Kluyveromyces lactis: one gene and its partners. The main gene of each other region encodes a partner of the protein of the gene in region 3 in a complex. Links are inferred from orthologs where the notes say so. Each region holds a gene or a part of one and is shown on either strand. Other genes may lie near its edges.

Evidence for each region.
Region 1: MRPL10 (region 3) and MRP20 share a complex: the UniProt entries of both Schizosaccharomyces pombe proteins name them as parts of the mitochondrial large ribosomal subunit. The link is inferred for Kluyveromyces lactis from reciprocal best matches to the Schizosaccharomyces pombe genes mrpl10 and mrp20.
Region 2: MRPL10 (region 3) and MRPL19 share a complex: the UniProt entries of both Schizosaccharomyces pombe proteins name them as parts of the mitochondrial large ribosomal subunit. The link is inferred for Kluyveromyces lactis from reciprocal best matches to the Schizosaccharomyces pombe genes mrpl10 and mrpl19.
Region 4: MRPL10 (region 3) and MRPL9 share a complex: the UniProt entries of both Schizosaccharomyces pombe proteins name them as parts of the mitochondrial large ribosomal subunit. The link is inferred for Kluyveromyces lactis from reciprocal best matches to the Schizosaccharomyces pombe genes mrpl10 and mrpl9.

The regions. Positions count from the first base shown.
Region 1 is NC_006038.1:504,944-507,361, reverse strand, and holds MRP20 (mitochondrial 54S ribosomal protein uL23m), read right to left. Parts: upstream 1,227-2,418; coding exon 501-1,226; downstream 1-500. Other genes in the region: DNA-directed RNA polymerase II subunit RPB2, read left to right, coding at 2,007-2,418. UniProt on the Schizosaccharomyces pombe protein: Component of the mitochondrial ribosome (mitoribosome), a dedicated translation machinery responsible for the synthesis of mitochondrial genome-encoded proteins, including at least some of the essential transmembrane subunits of the mitochondrial respiratory chain.
Region 2 is NC_006040.1:715,829-718,219, reverse strand, and holds MRPL19 (mitochondrial 54S ribosomal protein uL11m), read right to left. Parts: upstream 951-2,391; coding exon 501-950; downstream 1-500. Other genes in the region: ubiquitin-specific protease UBP10, read left to right, coding at 1-174; serine/threonine protein kinase NPR1, read right to left, coding at 1,423-2,391. UniProt on the Schizosaccharomyces pombe protein: Component of the mitochondrial ribosome (mitoribosome), a dedicated translation machinery responsible for the synthesis of mitochondrial genome-encoded proteins, including at least some of the essential transmembrane subunits of the mitochondrial respiratory chain.
Region 3 is NC_006039.1:1,033,445-1,036,174, forward strand, and holds MRPL10 (mitochondrial 54S ribosomal protein uL15m), read right to left. Parts: upstream 1,431-2,730; coding exon 501-1,430; downstream 1-500. Other genes in the region: KLLA0_C12111g (uncharacterized protein), read left to right, coding at 1-327; WSC2 (Wsc2p), read right to left, coding at 2,313-2,730. UniProt on the Schizosaccharomyces pombe protein: Component of the mitochondrial ribosome (mitoribosome), a dedicated translation machinery responsible for the synthesis of mitochondrial genome-encoded proteins, including at least some of the essential transmembrane subunits of the mitochondrial respiratory chain.
Region 4 is NC_006041.1:1,426,133-1,428,861, reverse strand, and holds MRPL9 (mitochondrial 54S ribosomal protein uL3m), read right to left. Parts: upstream 1,323-2,729; coding exon 501-1,322; downstream 1-500. Other genes in the region: exportin CRM1, read left to right, coding at 1-131; MRPL6 (mitochondrial 54S ribosomal protein uL6m), read right to left, coding at 1,665-2,309. UniProt on the Schizosaccharomyces pombe protein: Component of the mitochondrial ribosome (mitoribosome), a dedicated translation machinery responsible for the synthesis of mitochondrial genome-encoded proteins, including at least some of the essential transmembrane subunits of the mitochondrial respiratory chain.

The sequences.
Region 1 (2,418 bases), on a different chromosome or scaffold from region 3:
AGGAACAAAAAAACTAGAAACTCCGTGTACTAATTGGAATAGGAACTTATAAAGAACATTAGAATGCCAATCTTAGTATAATCAGCAACAGGAAAAAAAGAAACAAGATTAACCGTTTAGTGACTAAGTATGACATTAAATGAGCACCTGCCCGTTATTGAACCCTTCCATCCTGAACCGTGAAGATCAATACAACGGAAATTCAGGAATCAAATAGAAATCTTATACCGTTACTCTTTTTTCGCTTCATTTTTTTTCAAACTGGGACATACTGCACTTAACTTTCCCTTAATATTCACCACAATGTATTTATCTTTTATACATACATATAGTGTTCTTCAAACTTATTTCTCATTTAAACATTGAAAATGTTCACAAGTAGTCGTCATATTATTTTGCTATGACAGTTTTTAAATCAGTACTATATTTCATACATTATATTTACAGGATGTAATACTTTTACTAGAATTTAATTCATGAAAGAATAAATTCTCTGAAATTCATGTGCTTTTAGCAAGGACTTCACTGACCTTCTTGATTTGCTCCAAATATTGTTCCTTCTTTGCCTCTCTAGCCTTCTTATTCACTAGTCTTCTTTTAAGGAATCTAGGAATGAAAGGTTTTGCAGTTTCCTGGTATGGTCCCAATACACCATCGAATGCCTTTGAAGGTTTGTTAGCGTCGGATCCTAGTCTCATCCTATCGTTTCTGTATTTTTCCAATTCCTTTTGGAACTCAGTATTCCATGCACTCTTGTCCTCAGGTTCTGCAGGCCAGATAAATGGTTCTGCCATATCGATAGTCATCTTCTTGATTTGAGGACCACGGTACCTGGGCGACACCGGCGTAGCACGAGTGTATCTGGCATGCAATAACTGTGTAGTAACGTTCAACGCTCTTAAACCATAAAGGTGGAATAAATAATCTCTTAAATCTAATTTGTTAAACGATTTAGGAACGATGAATTTCGCTTGATATGGAGTGTGTTTAGCATTTGGTCTTAGTAGAATAACTCTCGCTTTAGGAAAATAGAGCTCTGCACCACCAACTTTAAAATGTGGTTTCTCAGTTTTAATCGCTTCACGAGTGTACTCCAAGATTCTGCTTTGTACGGATTGACGAGGTCTCTTGAACTGACTGGCTTTGACTGCTACTGTAGATTCCGTCTCTACCGCAGTAGCAAGGTTTCTCAAACCCTGTTTGAGAGATGGGAAAAAACGAGGCATTTGTTATAGATATTGAACAGAAACACTGGCGCAAAGATTACTACTTCACTTCGCTCTGCACTCGCAACTGAAAAGTCCCAAATAATCCTGTTCTTGTATGCGTCTCTTAGAAGCCTCATCTTCATACAAATCTTAATGTTAAAATCGAAATCATTTCAATGAAAAGCTTTAAAATACTCATTTTCCATGTTAGTAGATATTAGAAAAGCTGATGAGTACACATTTTGGCACGAATCTAACGTAGAATATGTCGTACAAAACTGGAGAGCTCTGGGATGTTTTAGAAGAAAGATTTTTTATTGGAAAAATCAGAGCGTAGGAAATGATCTTCACGTGACCTGATATATTGAAATTTTTGAATAAATGCTGTTACCCGTTTGTGACGTGGGAAATGATGTTCTCTTTATAGTGAAGAAAAAAAATACTCTGGAAGCTTGAAATTGAAATATTATTGTTTTGAGAGGCGAAACGTAATTACCGATTGATCGTTAATAGGAAGATTGGAAGAGAGAAGAGAAAAGAGAGTACCAGTCGGCTTAATCATCTTCTGTCAGAGTGGGGTTTGTTTCGGATTATTGGGTAAGTCCTTAACTCTTTGTATTTGGGGTGTGTTTTCTTCTTTGTTTGACCAGTAATACACATTTCTTTTCAGGTTGCGAGCAACACAACAAAGAGTGTTATTCTGTACTTTAATAATAAGCACGCACGTACGCATTATTTGCCACGGTTGTGAGGTCAGTGTAGATTATTAACGTTTGCAATTCTTAATACAGACCAAGGATGACTGAATACTATGATGAAGATCCATATGGGTACGATGAGGAAGAAGCTGCTATTTCAGCAGAAGATTCGTGGACTGTTATCTCCGCTTTCTTCAGAGAAAAAGGTTTAGTATCTCAGCAGTTGGATTCTTTTAACCAATTCATCAACTATACGATTCAGGATCTTATCTTGGAAGACAGTACCTTGATTTTGGAACAATTAGCACAGCATACCACTGAAACGGACAACATTTCCAGAAAGTATGAAATTTCATTTGGTAAGATTTATTTGGCCAAACCATCCATGACTGAGTCAGATGGTGTTTCTCATGCGATGTATCCGCAGGAAGCCCGTCTCAGAAACTTGACTTACGCATCAGGTTTATTTGTGGAAATTCAGAAGAGAACTTATCAGGCTATTGATATTCCAG
Region 2 (2,391 bases), on a different chromosome or scaffold from region 3:
GTGTACACTAGACTTACACCAAAATCGGTCCCACTTTCCTCTCAATCTTCCAATAAATCTACTGATCTAGGTATTCCGCAATTGCAAAGACCTCCATCTTCACACTCATCATCGCAGAACAACTCTAAACGTAAGAATAAGAAAAAAAACAAGAAGAGAAGGATTTCCCCATAAGTTTGAATAACCCTTTCCTTAAACTACCGGCTTACAATACACTTGCATCCTTGTTCATTCTTTCTTTGTAAACAGTCATACATGCATCTACCTCACACTGACTTCAGTTCATCTTTTTTCACTTCGGTTTCAGTTCATTTGGATCATCATATACATCTTCATCTATAGTAGTTGATATATTATTATAATTTTATCTTTTCATTATTCTATTTTATGTACACGAAATGAGGTCTACAAATGCTAATAAACCAGTTGGAATGAAACTCTCCATCGAGACCTTCACTATTTCACAAATCGATGCTTTGATTAGTGAAAAAAAAGTCAGTTTATGGAACTACCTTAATACCCATACTCTTAGCAACACCGATAATAGACTTTACGATTCCTTCAAGTTCCAGAGCAGCGTGTCTTCCATCGGTCTTCTTGATCTTGGCGATCTCATATATATGTTTTAACGACAGTTCACCACATACATTATCAGGGTTACTGATATTTGGTTGTCCGTGTCCCTTCTCAAGACTTAATGCCTTCAATAAAAGATATCCAGTAGGAGGGCTTTTCATTTCAAACGAAAATGTTCTATCTGGTTTGATATTGATGAGTACTGGAATCGGAGTACCCGGTTGGAAGTTTGCTGTTCTGGCATTGAACTCTTTACAGAAATCAATAGCTTTAATACCTTTAGACCCTAAAGCTGGACCAACTGGAGGAGAAGGCGCAGCTTGACCTGCTCCGACAATAAGTTTGACTATCACGTTCTTAAGAACCTTCGACATGGTCCTGTTTGGCGCTTCCTGGACTTACTGTTTCGATATTTTGTTCGAGGCAATTGATCGGATTGAATGCACATCTTACTTTAAGCCATCGATTTTTACCAGCTTATAATCTGGCATATCTCCAAGAATTTTTTAGGCCAAAGAAAATTTTGAAGTTATTACCCGCACATTGTTTTCCATTATACACTTTCTAATAAGCACAATTCATTGTCTGCTAAATAGAACCATATGCTGCGATGTGTACCGACTTCATGCCAAAGGTTGCTAACGTTATAAAGCATTAATTTTATGAGAATGCCAAGAATTGTTCTTAAATATTTTATACATTTGTGTACTTTTACAGGAGAGATAATTTATAACGATTGCACAACAATTAGAAGTCTATGTCGTCTCAGAAGAGTTACTCTTATTTGATAAAACATGCTGTAGAACATACCTCAGCCGGATTGCTAGTTTTACTCTCTCTCTTAATTTATTTTGCCTTTTTTTTCTTTTCAAGACCAGCAATGTGGGCTTCGCTTTGATCAACTTGGGTATGTTTGTGGTCCATTCCAGGGTGCACGACGTAGTTACCTTGGTTGTCTACTTCAACGGTGCACATGTCAATGGATTGAATCCAAGGGTCATTTAATACTTCTTCAATATTGGCTCTACAAGCAGGAGCCAAGTCTACCATCCTACCGATAATGTGGTGGGTCTCTTCCGGTAAGGAATGAAGTAGTCTTTGAGGACCAATATTCGTGTTGTTTGGATCAGATGGGTTGTTCGATTTAGATGTGCTCTCAGCTGGCTCATCAGATTGGACGGCATTGTCATAACTTGGCGGTTTAGGTGTTTTTGTGACTAAAGCACTCAAGGAATCGCAGTCTCTTCCCGAACAGAAGAATTTGAAGGAATTATCCTTTAACTTAGGTATCTTCCATGGGAATTTCTTTAATACCATACATGCAAACAAAATGGCAACGGACCATATATCAACAGGTCTTGGGTCATACTTGGTAAATATACAAACTTCGGGAGCCAAATATGGATCACTTCCAACAATGCCACTTGACTCGATTAAAGTTTTTGAGTGGGGGTAGGAGAAGACTTCTGCAGCACCGAAGTCAATCAACTTCACTATACCCTGGTTGTTTATTACACAGTTGTCCAACTTCATATCACGATGCGCCAGACCAATACTGTGTAAATATTCTACACCGGTCAAGATTTGCTTGAAACAACAACAGATTTCTTCATACGACATCTTATTACTCATGACGATGGCGAAAAGGTCATAATCACAATACTCCATGACTTGGAAGATCCTGTTGTTTTCGTAAACAATTTCAATAGTGGATATGATGTTTGGATGACGTAAAGTTGTACCAATACAGTATTCAGAAGTAATTTTCTTCACATAATCACGCTTACTTTCGTGTTCAAACTTTGGTCTGAATTC
Region 3 (2,730 bases):
ATGGCTGAGGATGCTGAATTTGAAGTGGTAGGAGATGCCTCTGAGACATTCCAATTGATATATTTCTTCCCGGATTTAGTCAAACCAGTACTTGAGCCAATATTTGATTACCTTTACCAGAAGTTTATTGTTGATTGGCGTATTGCAACTCCGTTTAGAGTATACGATATCGAACAAGCTAACATTTTGGCTCAAAAGAGGGGTGCTAAGCCTGTTGAAGGCTCTGAAGCGGAAGAAAGAAGGAAAAAGTTAGCCCTACAGGTTCTCGAAGAAAGATTGTTGGACAACAAAAACACAGAGTCTTCTACTCCACAAAACGATGTGTAAAAGTGAGACAAGCTCATTCTTATATTTTTAGACTTTAGAGCATTAAATAGACAAAAGTTGCTACAACTTGTGAATACAGATATCAATTTGATTGATATGGTGTATAAATCTGGAGAAATGGCGTTGAATGATGTGTATTATATACAGGGCATTTCTATATTGCTATATGATGTTCAGTTTGATTTAATTTCAGAATTTGGAGAAGCAGGAGCAAAATCGTTCTCAAGTTGCTCTAATTGCAACTCAAGCTTGGACTTCTTGGTCTTCCGAGCAACCAAATTTTTACCGCCTTCATCTTTGGATTTCTGCAAAAGTTGATAGTATGGGTCATTTTCCATAATCAAATAACCTCTCTTTTCTTCGTTACAGTAATATTCAATATCCTTCCTCTTTGTGGGTCTAGCTTGTAGAGGAACTCTTCCGTACTTTTCTAGGAACCAATGTGGTGATAAATGGGCTCTTAGACCAAGACGGTTGAAATAACGAGCAGTGAAACTTCCGCCTGCATGTTCGATTGCCTCAATTGCATCCTGTGAAGCTCTAGTAGCTTCAATCTTGATTGGAAGATTATAAGAGAATTTACCATCACCTAGAATCTTAATACCATCTTTGATCGGGCCGGTAACCAAACCGATTTCTTTCATCTTTTTCATCGTCAAGGTTTCACCTGGCTCCAAATGTAGGCGACCCTTTTGGTGGAACCACGTTATTCTATCAAGGTTTAATTCTTTCAATTTTAGTGATGTTACGTTGGTGAACCCTAGCTTTGGGAACAATTTGAAGATTGGGGTTTGACCACCTTCAAACCATGATTTTACATAACCACGGGCCTTTTGACCCTTTTGACCTCTACCAGCAGTCTTACCTTTGCCACTGGATGGACCTCTACCCAATCTTTTGTAGTTCTTCTTAGAGCCTTCACCAGGTTTTAAACCACCAAGGATCGTGATTTGGCGTACAAATGATCTCTGTATAAGTGATCCAAAGGGATTCACCACTTTGTTGATCGAAAACATCGTGCTAGTATTGTGAGACCTCGAGATAGGGCTATTAAATATCGATAATAGTAGATATCCAGTAGATTCATTGAATATCCAAATCATCTCCAGTAATTTCTTGTAAGTTAACCATATTCATTCTAAAAAATTTTCGAAATTAGGTATTCGGGTAACCTTTTAAAATGCTGAGATTCGCTAGGACACAGAGGGAGCTTGGAGACGATAAGAGGGTATGCAATGCTGATGTAAGTGTTTAGATGCGCCTAGCAGATTGACAAATTGAAACAGCCGAAACTATTTCAGTAAACCTACTATTATTTTAGCATCACGTTTTTCAAAAATGTAGCTGTAACATTATAAACTGCGTATTCCTCAGTTCAAAATAGGTTAGGTCCACCAGAAAAGAATTGGTAGCAGGCAATAATCTCGTAGGAGTATATAGTGGTAAATTCTTTTTATGACAAGAAACAGCTTCTATGGCCAAGTTGGTAAGGCGCCACACTAGTAATGTGGAGATCATCAGTTCGACTCTGGTTGGAAGCATTTTTTTGGATCCCTTAAACAATTACCCTAGATGAAAATGTAGCACAATAATTCCCGACAGTAAACATGACAATTAACCATTATAAAGATACCTTGAAGTAAAATGTGAAGAAATTAAATGAGTATTATAACGTTATATATGTACATATGTGAAAGCCCAACTTATCAGTATAACATAAATCGTTTCGATATATTTTGTGACTTGTCTTGTTTATAGTGTTAGACAATTAACTGATCCTCAGTTGATAGTTTTCATTAGGGGTATCAAGTATCAGTAGTGAGTATGGAACATGGCTTATTGTGGGCCTTAGTTGATGTTTTATATTTGGAATATTTCCTTTTGGCGTTTGTTTTGTTTGACAACAACAAGGGGATGATATTGGGTATATCATGCTATTATCTTAGCGAAATGTGTTAAAAAGATGATGTTATATTGTATCAGGATCAATCTCCCCTGAGATTTTCGATGATCGAATTGAATTCTGTATCCTCATCATCCAGCTCATCTGGATTGGCGATTCTTAGCGGTCGCCTTTGTTGAGTTACATCTGGTAAAGAACCATTGCTGAATCTAGGATTTCCCATTGTCGGACGTACAGGAGGTTGTGTTAGGTCTGGTTGATCCATAGTTTCTCCAAACGGACTAACGATTTGCGAATCACTGATTTCGTTTCCATTATTATCCAATCTTTTCTCCCTATTTTGACTTACACCAGATCTATCAGAGGATGATGATGCTGAATGAGAGTTTGGTAAAGTAGCAGCAGCGCCAAATCCACCTCCGGTAACTGGTGGGACTACGATGTCTTCTTCTTGACCAAACGAATAAGGTTGGTAATGCTTACTTTCCTCGAAGTCTGAC
Region 4 (2,729 bases), on a different chromosome or scaffold from region 3:
GAGATCCAACCGATTATTTGTTCGCAGAGGACAAAGAACAAGCTCTCGCGGAACAACATAAACTTGAAAGAGAAAGAGCTTCCAAGATCGGTGGGTTATTGAAACCATCGGAATTGGATGATGATGAGTAAAGATAACACCTTACAGAAATGTACAGCATGGTCAAGAAACGAAAAAGTTTCTGCGGATCCAATGAAAGCTGAAACTAACACTTGTCAAGCAAGGCAAATATATACATAGCAGGCCGTATATCTTCCCACATAGAGAAAAAAATTGTAATCAATTCTCTCCGACATATACCCAGGATCCAGTATCAACGTATGAAAGCCATTAAATATCTGGTTGAAAAGGACACTCAACGTTGCAGCAGTTACTATTTTATAATTGGTGTATATACAGGTATAGATTGTTAATAATAACCGTAGAAAGGCATGCTTTCCAAATGATTTCGGGACGGTGTCTAAACGACTGAAAAGATTCAATTTCTTAATCACAGTTTTTTATACTGGGGTTGGCTTTTTGATAGCATCTTGGATCTTAACGAATGCACCATTTGGACCTGCGACAGAGCCCTTCACCAAGACAGTACCTGTTTCGTCGTTGACGTCCAGCACTTGCACGTTTTGAATTGTTACAGTGTCGACACCCATATGACCAGGCATCTTTTTCCCAGGCAACACACGACCAGGTGTTTGATTTTGACCGTAAGAACCACCAGATCTGTGAGATACGGAAACACCGTGGGATGCCTTCAAACCTTTGAATCCATAACGTTTCATTACACCTTGGAAACCCTTACCTTTGCTGATTGATCTTAAATCAACGTATTGGCCAGGCTTGAACCACGAAGGTTTGATTAAAGAACCCACTGGTAGTAGTCCAGATTCGTCCTTGACTCTAAACTCGGTAACTTTTTCCTTTGGATTCACAACATGTGCAGCGAAATGTCCCAACATTTGTCTGGTAACATTCTCCGGCGACTTGTTACCATAACCAATTTGGCAAGCCCAGTAATTGTTTTCAGCTGGAGTTCTGTGTAGTATAACTTCGTTATTGTCCAACTGAAGTACAGTAGCTGCTATACGTTTACCAGTCTCTTTCTCGAAATACGGCATCATCCCTACTTTTTTACTCAAAGCACCACAACGTAGAGGTAATCTTCTTCTCTTTAGCGCATTTTCTGGAGAATGTTTAATATCTACAGGATCTAGATGAATGCTGCTTGCCACGGATGGTGCGACTAACTTGGCACCGTTCGATACTCCACTTTGTGAGAAAAGTCTTGTCCAAATCTTCGACGAAGGACTGCCAATAAATGCCATTATTCCCCAATTTTCAAAGACTGGTCGATTGATAACAAATGTGTCAATCCAGATAACCTCTTGGCAATGCTGGAGAAACTGTAAAGGATTTAAAATGTAGTTTAAAGACTCTATTGAAACCTGTTTCCATCTCTGTATAATTGTTAAAGCTGTTTCGATATTGAAAATTTTTTGAATCGATAAAGTTACCTATAGATCACGTGATTAAAACGGCACGTAGTTCTCTCACTGATTTAACACAAATTAAGTGTGCCCTTGACGGTTATTGGAAGTGTATGTTTATGCTTCTGTATTTACATGTTATTTAATATTATAATAATTATAATCATCATTCTATCGTCATCATTTGATCTTCTTATCCTTGATCTTGATAGTTTCATTGTTAACGTAGATACCTTTACCCTTATATGGTTCTGGAGGATGGAATTTTCTCAAGTTGGCAGCGAAGAGTAGCACTTGTTGCTTGTTGACACCTTCCACGATCAACGACGTGGGTACCGGAGACTTAACTATGATTCCCTCTGGGATAGGTAGGCCTTGTCTTACCGACGCACCGACTTTGACGTTGACAAAGGTGTTATTTTCCTCCAATTGAGCTCTGTAACCGGTACCAACGAACTTCAGAACAGCCATATGGCTCTCATTCACGCCTGTGATATGATTATTTATATGAGATCTTACCGTCCCCCACATGGATCTTTGCGTCTTGTCGGTAGAATCCTTCACTGCAACTTCGATTTTTCCCGAAGATCCATCCTGCTTTATCTCCACGAAATCTGGGATTTCCATATCAATCTTCCCCAAAGGACCCGATACAGTTACGTTCTGAGATAACTTAAGAGATTTGTTACCCTTTCTGATGATCTTTGGCAGTTTCATTGATTCCACCACCAACTTGGTCTCCGGTGTCAAATACACCGGAGAAGAACCAATATGTGAGCGCAGAAGAGCCGACACAGAAAAGAGTCTTCTGGAAACAAATGTCATGGTAATTGTGTATATCCTGGAAATAGTCTAGCCCACTTTGCAGCCGCTATATGACTGGGTATATTAGATCAAATGCGTCTATATCAATCTGTTCTTCCAGCACTCATCTCTATGCGTCTTTCAACCAATTTTTCACTTGGAATCAAAATTTTAATAGTGAGATAGTATGGGAGGGTAACTTTAATTGCTTTGACGATTGTTAAATAAGATATACTTAGGCTGTTACTCTCGATTGGTGACCATCTAGGCCACTCCTGGGTCGAAATGGGATGTGGAGACTGCTCTTCGTCGAAACACAGGAGTAAATACCTTGTGCTTATATTATCCTGTGCATCACGTGACTTGTTGATCTTTGCCCTTTCTTTTTGAAAAATTTCAAGCTCATCGCCTACGCATCGTCATCTCATCTCAATTACTGAA